3 linked regions of the Callithrix jacchus genome follow. The protein of the gene in region 3 purifies or fractionates together with the protein of the main gene of each other region. This does not show direct contact. Links are inferred from orthologs where the notes say so. Each region holds a gene or a part of one and is shown on either strand. Other genes may lie near its edges.

Region 1 (4,006 bases), on a different chromosome or scaffold from region 3:
TGGGTGTCAGCATGGTATTCCAAAATAATGAACTTTCTAATAGTGCTGGAAGTACTAAATTAGCTTACTTACCCTTATAACTTTATAAGAGCCAGAAGGTATTGTTTCAAAATGACTTTTTAAAAATGGAAGTGAATATGCAAAGATAAGTTAGGCAATTTGCCTAAAGCTTCATCAGGAGACTCGGGAGGAGACAGTGAATTAGATCCTTTAGAGTGCAGTGTTCTTTCTGTCTACTTGCCAAAGACGAAGGCATCTGGGAGTCTATGACAGCTTCAATAAAATACATAAAATGACTAATGATGCTGCTGATTAGGTGGAAAGTGAGAGAACAAGTGTTTAGGGATGCTAGAATTGCCAGTGGGAAATTAAAAACAAAACAAAACAAAAACACATCTCCTAAAGGCTTACCTCTGGTGGTTTCGCAAGTATAACATCCATTACAGCATCAAAGATTTATAGTTTTTTTTTTCTTTGAGACAGGGTCTCACTATGTTGCCTAGGCTGAAGTGCGGTAGCACGATCATGGCTCACTGCAGCCTGGAAAATTTTTAAAAATTTTTGTAGAGACAGGTTCCCACGGTGTTGCCAAGGCTGGTCTTGAACTCCTGGCCTCAAGTGATCTTTCTGCCTTGGCCTCCCAGAGTGCTGGGATTATAGGTGTGAGCCTATAATTTGGGAATTAAATCCCCAAAGCTGAAGTCTGGGAAGAAGTCACTTATCAGTGAGTGAATCTAGCCAGCTACTGAGCATTTTGTTATTTATTTATTTTTTGAAGACAGAGTCTTGTTTTTGTCGCCCAGGCTGGAGTGCAATGGCACAATTTCAGCTCACTGCAACTTCCACCTCCTGGGTTTCAGCGATTCTCCTGCCGCAGCCTCCTGAGTAGCTGGGATTGTAGGTGCCCGCTACCATGCCTAGCTAATTTTTGTATTTTTAGTAGAGATGGGGTTTCACCATGTTGGCCAGGCTGGTCTCAAACTCCTGACCTCAGGTGATCCACCTGCCTCGGCTGCTGTTCCCCTAACAGCAGCAAACTCATCTTTCAACTTACTTTTCCTCACATTACATATATAATTTGGAAGAAGGAACAAAAAAGCGAGGGAAATTGCAATCTCCTAATTGAGGTATAAAACATAACTTTCCACATTGAATAGTTACAAACACTTAGGAACAGTGTGACAGGAGGCAGAGATACCAACAGCACTGGAAATGATGATGGAGATCAAATCTCAAAAAGCAGTTTTCTATAGCTTAGTCACACTTGGCTCAATTTTTCACTTTTTGTACTTAAAAGGTATGGCAATTTTTTGGTGCTTTATTTAGTAATTATGTCATTTTGCCTGATAATACAATTTCAGTACATTACTTTCCTTAAATCATTTCCCTTTGGTGAAACAGAAAAAGCAGAATTGGTCTTTAGGCATGTGTGCTCAAATCAAATGATCTTTCCCCATTATGGCTATGTTCTTCCAGTGGTCACCTTCCCTTCAATATTCTTTCATGCAGCAAAGTGAGTCTTTACTTTGTACTAGGAACTGTTCTGACACTGGGGAAACCATGTCAACAGGACCCACATGATCCCTGTCCCTGCCCTCAAGGAGACAGAAAACAAATGAACAAATACAATAATTACACAGGGATCGGGAGCTGTAAAGGGTACTCTATTAAAGTTAGTGGCTGTGGAACTAATTTGAAGAGGGTAGTCAAGGAGGGCTACTCTGGGACAGATTTAGACAGAGGCCCGAGGAAAGATGGATTTGGATAAACAGTATGTTTATGGAGAGTTCAAGGAAGAGGTACCAATTACACTCATGCTGTGTGTGTAAAGGAGGCAGGATAAAAACTTTCGTTCCAGGCATAGAGACCATAAAGTGTATCTTGGAGAGGAAAAGTGTGTTGTAGAGGGTTAGGTGGCCAGTGTAGCTGAAACTTCAGGAGCCAGACAAGAAACGGGATTGTAAACGTGGGTTAAGGACCACATCAGGGCCTTGTAGGCCATGGCAAGGAGTCTAGCTTTTATCTCAATGCCAAGAGAAGCTGTAGGATTACTTCAGACAGCTGAATTACACGATCTGTCTTTCTTGTTAAAAGATCACGCGGGTAAAACGAGACGTGTCGAGGAAAGTTTTAAACCCAGAGAACTTAAGTCAGATGCAAAAATTATGCACTTCTTCGGGCCTCAGGTTTTCCATAAGTAAAGCCTTGAACTAGAAGCCATTTCCTTCCCACTGCGATGTGGTGAGTTCTGAGCATGGGCCGCGTCAGACTGACCATGGAATTCCCCTCATCGATGCCGGCGCCCATCTACGCCGGCGCCCAGAACACAACTGGCGCCCTGAAACTGTTGGTCACCGCAATGAATCAATGAATGCTCTGCTATGGACGCGGGACCAGGCCCCGGCGCCAGAAAAGAACGCGATGGGTCGCGCGGGAGGCCGCGAGAGGCTTCCGACGAGGACGTAGGGGCCGGCTCCAACACAACCAAGGCGCGCCGAGCAGGGGAACCCGGGCCTCGCAGGTTGAGGGAAGAAAAAAATCGGACTAGGGCCCGACACCGGGAACTAGGAGAGAAGGCCGAAAAGTGGGGCGGAGGAAGGGTTCTGGTTCCAGGCCTGGGGGCCCAGCCACTCACCGCAGCCGTCGCCAGGCTGTGCATGTTGGGAGCGGCCGCCGCTCTCCTTTCGCAGCCGGACGCGCCCGACCCGCGTCCCAGCTTCAGCACCCCTGCCGCCGAAAATAATGAGCCGCTGTAGCAGCCATCCGCCTCTAGCTCGCTCCGCCCCCTTCGCAGCCCTCTGACCTATCACCTCTGACCCCACCCACACATCCTCTTCCCGCCCCCTGGCCCTCGGCCTAGTTAACAGTCCCGGAGTCTGTCCTTTGCCTCTTAAGATTTAGGACCCGAAAAACGTCCGCGACCAACTAGTTCCCGCAACTCCTAGCTTTAAGCAGATATTTCCAGAGAGCGGCGTGAACTCTGACCCTTCTCCAGAGGCCAGTGAACGGCGGGAAAAAATGGACCGTCCCGTGAGGAAAACAATTGCGCATGCCCAACTGGGCAGAGTAAGAGGGAAACGATGGGAGGGTCGAAATCGGGTGAAGCAGGAAGTGCGCCTGCGTACTACAGTCAGGGCTGGGGCGGGGCTGACCGGGTTAGGCCGCACTAGGTGCTGTTGGGGGCGGGGCGAGGGCGTATGAGGGGCGGAGTTTTCGCTGGCGCGCACGCGCCTGTGTGGTCGCGTCAAGTCTGCGTGCGTGCGTGCGTGTTTGCGTGTGGTCGCAGTTCCCGCCATCAGCCGCTCGCTCTGACTAGGGGTAGGTAGCGGCCTCCCTCCTTTGGGTTTGTTATCCCTACTTTCATTACCCCTGGCTCCTCTCGCTCTGCGCCGCTGCGTGCTTTCCGCAGGTCTGTCCGGGGGCTCTGGACCCTCAGCGCAGGTAAGGAGGGTCGGGGTAGCTTCTCAATTGAGCCGTTTTCCCTAGCGCCCAGTCCCTCTGTGCGATCCGCCCACTCGGTGTTCACTCTTTTGGAGTTCGCCCAGCTGCTACTCAGGCCGCCCACAACCCCTGGACGCACCCTCAGCCTCACAGGTACTCCCTTTGGGTTCACTGCCCCGGCTTTCCCCTCTCTGACTTGGTCTCCACTGCCAGTCGCTCCTTCCGAAACTCGAACCTGGCCCCTTTCCTCTGGGGCTGTTGTCGTCAGCCACTTTGCCTCTTAACAAGGCCTGTCTCTTCTGGTGACTGTGACTTTGGTTGCCGCACATCCACCAGGCCTTGGACATGATACTCATTTACCCTCTTGACCATGTTCACCTTCCTCTTGACCAGTCCTCACTGCAAAACATGAGTTGTATTTTTCTTGTGCATTTCCTTGCGCCCATTTCTAGCTATCACATCAGGTTGTTTGATTTCGTTCTTCTAAGTCATGATCTGTAAAAGAAATGATTGATGACAAAGTCCTGTGTCCAGGAGAATTGTCCTGAATTGGTTTTGGGGTAGT
Region 2 (4,252 bases), on a different chromosome or scaffold from region 3:
TTTCTCACAGCAGTTGCCACTATAAACCACTATATTCTATAGGCACATCTGCTCGACTGTTTGCCTCATTGAAACATAAACTCAATGAGGGCAGAAGCTTGGTCGTTTTTTTTTTTTCAACCCCGGGCCTAAACACATAGCTGGCCTTCAAAACACTGAACATAAAATTAACCCTTGGGACGTTTCAGATTCTGAGAACAGGAACCATCTCTGAACCATTCTCTCTGACTGTGATCATCTAGGTCCTTCATTCAAAATGCATTAATTGGAAATACCTAAAAGAAACGTGGGAGGGGGTCGGAAGAAAGTGGAGAAGAGATATTTACATAAATTAAAAAGGGAGCTGATATATGCGTAACACTTTTGCTCAACGTCAACTTCTCAAGTCAAGGCCTCACTGACACTGGCACTCAATACACAGGTGCTGAATAAATAAATGATAAAAGTGAAACCCAGAGAGGTTAAAGGATTTCCTCAAGGTCACACACCTAGCAACAAACACAGCCCTTACTATAACCTTGTCTACTATAGCCCCGTGTGTTGGCTCTTTCCACAGTCACTTCCACTACACCACAGAGCCTGTTCCAGCACATGATTCTATTTAACAGATTTCTCCTCTTTTTTTTTTTTTTAAGTGCCAAAGAAAATACATGTTACCAAAAAAAGTGACACACTGGGTAGCATTTTAAACTCAAGTGTTTCGCCAACTAAAACTATATTCAAATTTCATAAGTATACAGGCTTAGCCCGTAAAACAGAAAGGCACAACTATTCATAGTTAAGTTCCTCTTGAAATTGGTGTGTATGCTTTGAAAGTTTTAAAACAACCACTGAAAAACCTATTCACCAATTCTGAATGGCCTGTAAAGTATCAGCCTCACTTTCATTATTTTCAGAGCCCACAGTATCTCCTCCCTGGCTATACTTTATCTTGCAGATTATGCAAGGCAATGTAACTAACTTCAAAGCCCCTCTATTTCCTTTTAAAGTACAAAAAAATCTCCCAAAACACTGAACATAAAATTAACCCTTGGGACGTTTCAGATTCTGAGAACAGGAACCATCTCTGAACCATTCTCTCTGACTGTGATCATCTAGGTCCTTCATTCAAAATGCATTAATTGGAAATACTTAAAAGAAACGTGGGAGGGGGTCGGAAGAAAGTGGAGGAGATATTTACATATATTAAAAAGGGAGCTGATACATGCATAACACTTTTGCTCAACGTCAACTTCTTGTGTCAAGTCGAGGCCTCACTGACACAACTTCTGCTGTCTTCTTGATCACCTTCCTCGCAGAGACGGGCCAAAGCCGGCACCTTCTGCCGGGACTGTCTCTAGACCTAGGATGGGGCACACCAGGACAGCGGACGGTTTGCTCCGCGTCTCTCAAAACTATTGCCAGCCCAATTAGTAAACCGAGAGGGCAGCCCTGAGATGCGGGATGGCCAGAGTTGAAATGAGCCTGGGAGTTAAGAGTGGGATGGGGCGACGAACAGGCGTGGGGAGGGTAAACAACGCACAGGTAACAGGAGTGAGAACAGGGTTGAGGTGGGGTCAGCGAAAGGCAAAAGACGAAGGAAGGAAGGGAACGGGGCTCAGGGTGGGATGGGCGGTAGCAAAGGGGGAGGGAACGCGAGCGGGCTGGGGGAGGGGGAGAAGGGTCCGGGGCGGGGCGGAAGGGAGCAAAGAGGCGGGATGAAGACGGCCAGGCCGGGAGGGTCTTTACCTGCAGCTCCGCCCGCTCCACCTCCCACTGGGCTCTCTCCACCTCGAAGCGGGCCCACTCGTGCTGCAGGAAGTGCAGGATCCCTGGGAGACTGTACTGGGCTCGGGCCGCCCCCGCCGCAGCCGCCCCGTCGCCGGCCGCGGCAGCCTCCGCCAGAGGCCCGAGCCCCTTGGCACCGCCGGCGCCCGGGTGGTTGTTGCTGAAGAAGACGCCGGGACCCGCCTGCTCGTCCATGGCGGCCGCAGATACCCGGGGAGCTGCCCCGGCGCCCAGCAGCGGAGGCAACAGCGGCGGCAAGCAGCGCCTCCTCCTCCCTCCGCCGCTCCCGCCCACACCCCAGTCAGCAGGGAGCAGCCGCCTGGGCGCGGGGGCCGGCCGAGCCCGTGACGGGCCGGGAAATGGGTCAACTGCAGCGCGCGGGTGGCCCGGGGCTTGCCGGGAAATGTAGTCGTGGGGCGGGACGCGGGCGAGCGAGACCAAGGCGGCCTGTGGGGCTTCGCCTCGGCTGGGGCGTGGCTTCGGGCCTGTCCCGCCCACTCCGGCTCGCCGCGGAGGGGCGGGCTTGGCGGGGAGCGCGGGTTTCCTATTGCTGGCTGGGCGCGGGCGGGCGGCGCTCCAGTCTTCCTTGCACGCGGAAGTTGGCGGGCGGCGCTCCCTTTTGCGCACACACACACAAGCACGCGGGCGGCACTCCCTGTTGCACACATACACACACACGGAAGTTATCACGCCAAGATACCAGCCCGAGCCGCGTATCGTTTAAGGCTTCCTGGTCGTTCTGTGAAGAAACCGTCAAAGCGAACTACCTGGTGCGGCAGCGGGACGGGTTCTCCCGCCGTCAGTCCTGCGAGCTCTCGTGCCGGCTCCGACTTCGGAGTTTTTATCACCCTAGACGCTCCTCCATTCTGCCAGTCTGCGGGTCGCTGTCGCTCCTGCCTTTCTTTTTTGACTCGAGGGGCTCAAACCTGTTGCCTGACCAGTTTTCATTTCTAAGGAACGCTGCTCACCTCTCCAAGACAGCGCCGCAGCTTGCTGCTGCTGCTGCCTGCAAATTGTAGTTTGTTGACAGCCCGTCGGAAAACCTGCTCTGTTGAAGTTTCTTTCCCTTTGCAGCCCTCTGCAGTAAATCCTGTAAAAGTTTTAGCATCCAATAACAGATGCTTTGTTATTTGCCTCATTTTTCCTTACTCCCGCTCATTTTTACTCCATTTAATTGAACATATATTTTGATTATCGGTTATCTCTCGCGCTGGGAATATTAAGATAAATGACACCATTTCTGTTATCAAAGATTGGCATAGAATCAAGTATAACACTGCCTGCAAAGCGACACCACCTGAAAGAGCAAGGTCCCTTTCTGCTTCCTAGCCCAGTCTTAGATATCCTGTCCCCTCTCCATTTTCACTTGTCCTGTTCCAGTTTCTTTTACGATTCACTTGCAAACTGGCAACAGCATCCGCCTACCAAAGGTACACCAAAGTCCTTTCCTTTTAAGTGGCTCTCTGTAAATATTTTCCTTTTCCGAAGTCTGACAATATGTCACTATAAATTCACACTGCAACAGTGGGAGAAAGGGAAGGCCCTTGAAAACAATTTTTAAAATGCAAATGAGGCTGGGCTTGGTGGCTCACGCCTGTGAACCAAAGCACCTTGGGAGGCTGAGGTAGGTGGATCGCTTGAGTTCAGGAGTTCGAGACCGGCCTGACCAACATGGGGAAACCCCGTCTCCACTAAAACTACAAAATTAGCTAAGTGTGGTGGCGCATGCCTGTAATGCCAGCTACTCCAGAGACTGAGGCAGGAAAATTGCTTGAACCCAGGAGGCGAAGGTTGCAGTGAGCCGAGATTGCGCCATTGCACTCCAGTCTGGGCAACAAGAGCAAAACTCCGTTTCAAAAAAAAAAAGCAAATGAAATTAAGCACCTTTTTATCACCCTAACAAGTTATCTGGAATTCTTATGTTTTCTAGGACGTACTTCTGGGCTATCAGACTTGATGGCCATGAAAAAAATGAAAAGATACAGGCTGCTGAGTGACATGTCAGGGAAAGACATCCTGTCCCTGTCCTCTCTCCCCTCCCCCCTTTCCCATGGCTACTTGCAGAAAGGACAGGAAACACATTGTATCTGCTCTGGTTGCAAATAAAGATGGAGAACTCTCTTCTCTCCTTAATTGATGTTTCTGCTTTATGAATTAATTCTTTATTATCATAAAAGATTGATCCAGGCCTGGCCAAATTCCCTGTGTCATAACTTATTTGGCTGTCAGTGTCCTTTGAGATACAGCCCAGTCTTCTCGTTTATAGCTCAAGGAACTAAGTTTCAAAAAAATTGAGACTTGTCCACAATGAGGCCTTGAGTGAGAGGACACATGCAACAATTTGTTTAAGTCAATTCATAGCAGACCACAAAATGTAGTTAAATTCATAGATAATCTGGACTACCACACATATACAAAAACACTATTTTAATTCATAGTTCAACTTTATTACTCACAATACCTTTTTTTGCTTTACGAGGACTCA
Region 3 (4,200 bases):
ACACCATTTCTCACTGGAAAACAGACAGGAATAGAACAAGAGATGACTTAGCTGGCGGCTCGACAGTGCCACATCTCTCTGAGGTGGAGTGGGGGGCGCGGGGACAGGCACTGAGAAAAGGTCACCAGCAAGAAGGCAGGCCCTCCCTCTCTAGCCCCATTTCAAAGGAAGTACAGCTCTCCCTCAAGCCCTTGTATTTTGGGGTGGAAAGGGGGGAAGCAGATGCTTTCTCAAGCAGCATAAGGCAGGCCAGACAGAAGCACTGGGAGCAGGTCACCAGGTCTCCTGAGGGGAGGGAGAGTAGAATAAGGCTGCAGGCAACTAAGGAAAACTAACGTTGCTTTAAGCTGAGAAGTCCAGAGGGAAATACCACATCTAAGGTCAGAAGGTATTTGTGGAATTGCTGGAAATCCCGGGTTGAGGGTCAAAGCCAAACCACCATAAGAGGCTAAAGAAACCCAAGCAGAGTCCCACAAAGTTCAAAGCAAAGGTTGTGGTTTGGACCCACCCTTTTTTTTTTTCTTTGGAGACAAGGACTCGCTGTGTCACCCAGACTGGAGTGCAGCAGCGCAATCTCAGCTCATTGCAACCTCCATCTCCCGGGTTCAAGCGACTCTCCTGCCTCAGCATCCCGAGTAGCTGGGATTAAAGGCATGTGCCACCACGTCCAGCTAATCTTTGTATTTTTAGTAGGGACGGATGGGGTTTCACAGTGTTAGCCAGGCTGGTCTCAAACTCCTGACCTCAGGTGATGCCCCACTCCCACCTTGGCCTCCCAAAGTGCTGGGATTACAGGTGTGAGCCACCTTGCCTGGGCTGACCCACCCATTTTTTTATTGTATTCCAGTCACCCCAGCCACAGGAACCTGTAGCCAGAGTTAATCAATAACCAAGGTAGGACGGAAAGGTGGAAGTTCATCCCAGAATGGAACATATTAAGGGACTTTTACGCAGAATCTAGATTTCCATCTTATATACCAACTAACTTGGACATCGCAGTTTAAACCCTGGCTAAGCTGACCTTAAGAATCTCCCTCTTAAAGCCTTCAGACCCTCTCCCCATCAACACACATACACGTGCCTGTGCACACAAAGAAATTAAACGTTCATTCTCTCTCCCCAGCAATTTATCACCTTATCTCCAGTCAGGTCTCATAGCCCAATATTGCACCAAACAAATTATGACCTGAATGGCAAGAGAAAACTGTGTCACCTAGAGAAACCCAATTAACAACATGACTCTGCTCTCTTCAATTCCCCTCTCCCCTCCAGCCATATCCGGGGCACCTGTGTGGCTGACCGCCTTTTCCCACTCTGGCGTTGTTCTCTGGCTGGCTCAAAAGCCAGAAGACAATCCGAGGAGGGGCTTCCAGAGAAGCAAACCTAGGGATGGGAAATCCTGCTCTCCCCACACCTTGGCCTGGTGAGAGCGCTGGAAGGGCATATTCCTAACCACCTGGCTGACAGTCTGGAGTGTTCACCTTGAAATCACTAAGTTGCCCCTTAAGCCAAAGCTCCCTGCTGAAGAAAACATAAATGCTACAGAAAGCTCCTACACCAGAGTGTGTAAGTGCCCCACAAGGGACAATACACGGGTATTTCCAAGAAATTCCTGCTGCAGTTTCTTCCTCTCAACCCCTTTCCTAATTAGCCCCTACTCTGAGAGGTCTCCATTGCTTCCAGCCCTCAGCTAACATAAATACCCACTGCCTTTCCAAACCTTCCGCCTGACCACATGTAGCATGTGTCGTGTGTGTGTGTGTGTGTGTGTGTGTGTGTGTGTGTGTGTAAACATCCTCTTCCCAGCCCGTGCTACAGTTTCCAAAGAGAAGAAATGCCTCCCCTCCTCCCCGAGTGCTCCTGGCCCGGCTACGCTGCAGAGTTGGTCATGTAATATTCAGGGACCCTGAGACCGGAAATGCCTGGTTCTGAACTGCTGCACTTGAAACAGGAGAAGGGATAGGGAAAACTGAACGTCGGATTGAGGGTGACGGTAGGAGGGGTGGGGTGGCTGAAATTCCGACCAGGGAAAGGATGCAAGGGTTGGAGAGAAAGAGAAAGAGGGATGAGAGGAAGGCTGTCGAGACAGTTGCAAAGTCAAAATTCCAAGAGCCGAGGAAGAGGAGGGGAAGAAGATAGAAGTAAGGGCAAGGGTGGAAAGAGGACGGAGAGGAGGTGAGGAGCCAAAATAAAGATTCTGCAGGTGATGGGAGAGGCTAAGTTTAGGGGAAACCAGAGGGTCCCGAACCCCAGAGTAAAGGTAGGGTGGCAGGGAAGTGTGGGGGCGGGGCACCACAGGGTGGGGACCGAACTGGCTCCCAGCATCTACAGCGAGTGGAGAGAGAAGGGAGCAGAGGACGGGGGCCCAGCCGCCGCGGGAGCCGGGGAAAGGGGCACGGGTCGCCAAGGGGACCCAGGCTGGTGGAGGGGGCGCCTGGGAGCACGTGAGGCGTGCAGCCACCCCGCTCCCTCCACAGCGGCGGGAACAGGAACCAGGGCGAGGCTAGGGGGCGGCGCGCTCACCCGCAGGGCGGACAGGTCGATGTCGTCCAGGCTGCGGGCGGGGGCTGGGTCACCCATGGCCTCTGCGGGGAACGGGGCACCGGGGCCGCTCACGCTCCGGTTCGGTTATTCCACTGCCGCCGTCGCCGCTTCTCCCCCATCGGAGGACCCCGGGGGCGGACTCCACCGCGCCTCCCCCGGAGACCGGGGAGGGGGAGGGCCGGCGCGAAGACCGACCCACCGACTGACAAGCGCTATCGCTTCGGAGCCAGCCACCCGAGCCTCCCGTCTCTCCTGCGCAGGCGCGGAGCGGCCGCGCGAGGGGAGGGTGGAAGCGGGAGCGCGACGCGAGCGCGCCGGGGCCCCCCCTCCCCCTAGGCACCGACACCTGCGCGCAGGCGCAGGCGAGCCGTCGAAAGGCGCGCGCGGGGACGGAGCGACCGCGCAAGCCTGGCGTGAAAGAAGTGGGCGGCGGCCGAGGCGGCCGCGGAGCGCGCCCACCAGCTGGCGCGCGTGCGCACTCGCGTTTCCTTGTCTTTCCCTATTTTTTGTCCTTTCTCTCCCTTATTTCCTTCTTAGATCTCCTTTGACGCCTTTCCTTCCCTTTTCCTCCTTCTTTTGTGTGCCCATTTGCCAATCAAGCCACCCACCTCTCCATTTGCGGGGGAAGGGGGCGGTACCCAACCCCCTCTATTACTAGGGTGTTGTTATGGTAACTCCCCACGCGAGGGCTGGGTGGCCTCTAGATAGGACGGGCTGTCCACCCACCCAATTGCTATGGCAACAGTGGAGCCGCGGAGGGAGGGGCCATTCCGTGAGAACTTGGCTGGAGAAACCACGTGGGAGTTGGGGGGCAGAGGAGGGGCACCGGCTGCCTCAAGAATGCCCTTTCCACCCTCACCTAGCAGGTGGGGGAAGCATTGAGGAGCTCTGAGATCTCAGGATAAGGAATCCTACTGCAGACGTGTATCTCTGCACCTCTTTTAACAAAGTGTTCTGCACAAAAGAACTGTTTCGACAATTATTCATTGATCACTGGAGTCGCGCTTGGGGGAAGGGGTGGTGAAGAGGAAGAGAGGGAATCTGCGTTCAATCCCTTCAAATACTGCTTGGGTCACCTCAGATCTAGTCATGTTGGCACAGCACCTACTGCCATTAGCTTTAGTGGAGGCTGAATAATGCTATCTAAGAACCAAGAGTCATGTTCTGCCACTGACATGCTGTGTGACCTTGAGCAAATTGCTTTGCTTCTTTGGCCTTTTCTTTCCCTGTGAAATTGAGTGGGGCAGCTGTACGATCCTCAAGATCTCTTCCAGCACCAACACTGTCTCTGAAAGACCCCACCACCAGCCTTAATATAAACATCACTTAAGAGAGTTTAAATTAAAAGTCCTTGGAAAATAGCTGAACACGCTTTCTGGACCCTTCTCCTTAGCATTTGGATGCACATCCAGTCAGCCCCCTTCTTCAAGTCAATCCTTTCTTCTTCTTCTTCTTCTTTTGGGGGAGATGAAGTCTCTCTCTGTTGCCCAGGCTGGAGTACAATGGCATGATCTCTGTTCACTGCAACCTCAATCTCCTGGGCTCAAGCGATCCTCCAGCCTCAGCCTCCCGAGTAGCTGGGACAACAGGCAGTGCATGCCACTACCCCTGGCTAATTTAGGTATGTTTTGTAGAGACAGGGCTTTGCTACGTCAC

Evidence for each region. Proteins that work in one complex are often made in the same cells at the same time.
Region 1: the proteins of MINK1 (region 3) and CNOT9 purify together in Homo sapiens (affinity purification with mass spectrometry; 3 studies listed by BioGRID and IntAct, with this or other methods). This does not show direct contact. The link is inferred for Callithrix jacchus from reciprocal best matches to the Homo sapiens genes MINK1 and CNOT9.
Region 2: the proteins of MINK1 (region 3) and STRN purify together in Homo sapiens (affinity purification with mass spectrometry; 3 studies listed by BioGRID and IntAct, with this or other methods). This does not show direct contact. The link is inferred for Callithrix jacchus from reciprocal best matches to the Homo sapiens genes MINK1 and STRN.

What each region holds. Positions count from the first base shown.
Region 1 is NC_133507.1:140,310,763-140,314,768, reverse strand, and holds the start of CNOT9 (CCR4-NOT transcription complex subunit 9), read right to left. Parts: upstream 2,801-4,006; 5' UTR 2,660-2,800; coding exon 2,636-2,659; intron 1-2,635. UniProt on the Homo sapiens protein: Component of the CCR4-NOT complex which is one of the major cellular mRNA deadenylases and is linked to various cellular processes including bulk mRNA degradation, miRNA-mediated repression, translational repression during translational initiation and general transcription regulation.
Region 2 is NC_133515.1:78,023,603-78,027,854, reverse strand, and holds the start of STRN (striatin), read right to left. Parts: upstream 2,801-4,252; 5' UTR 2,436-2,800; coding exon 1,908-2,435; coding exon of another isoform or gene 1,825-1,907; coding exon 1,729-1,824; intron 1-1,728. UniProt on the Homo sapiens protein: Calmodulin-binding scaffolding protein which is the center of the striatin-interacting phosphatase and kinase (STRIPAK) complexes.
Region 3 is NC_133506.1:106,401,942-106,406,141, reverse strand, and holds the start of MINK1 (misshapen-like kinase 1), read right to left. Parts: upstream 2,801-4,200; 5' UTR 2,581-2,800; coding exon 2,524-2,580; intron 1-2,523. UniProt on the Homo sapiens protein: Serine/threonine kinase which acts as a negative regulator of Ras-related Rap2-mediated signal transduction to control neuronal structure and AMPA receptor trafficking.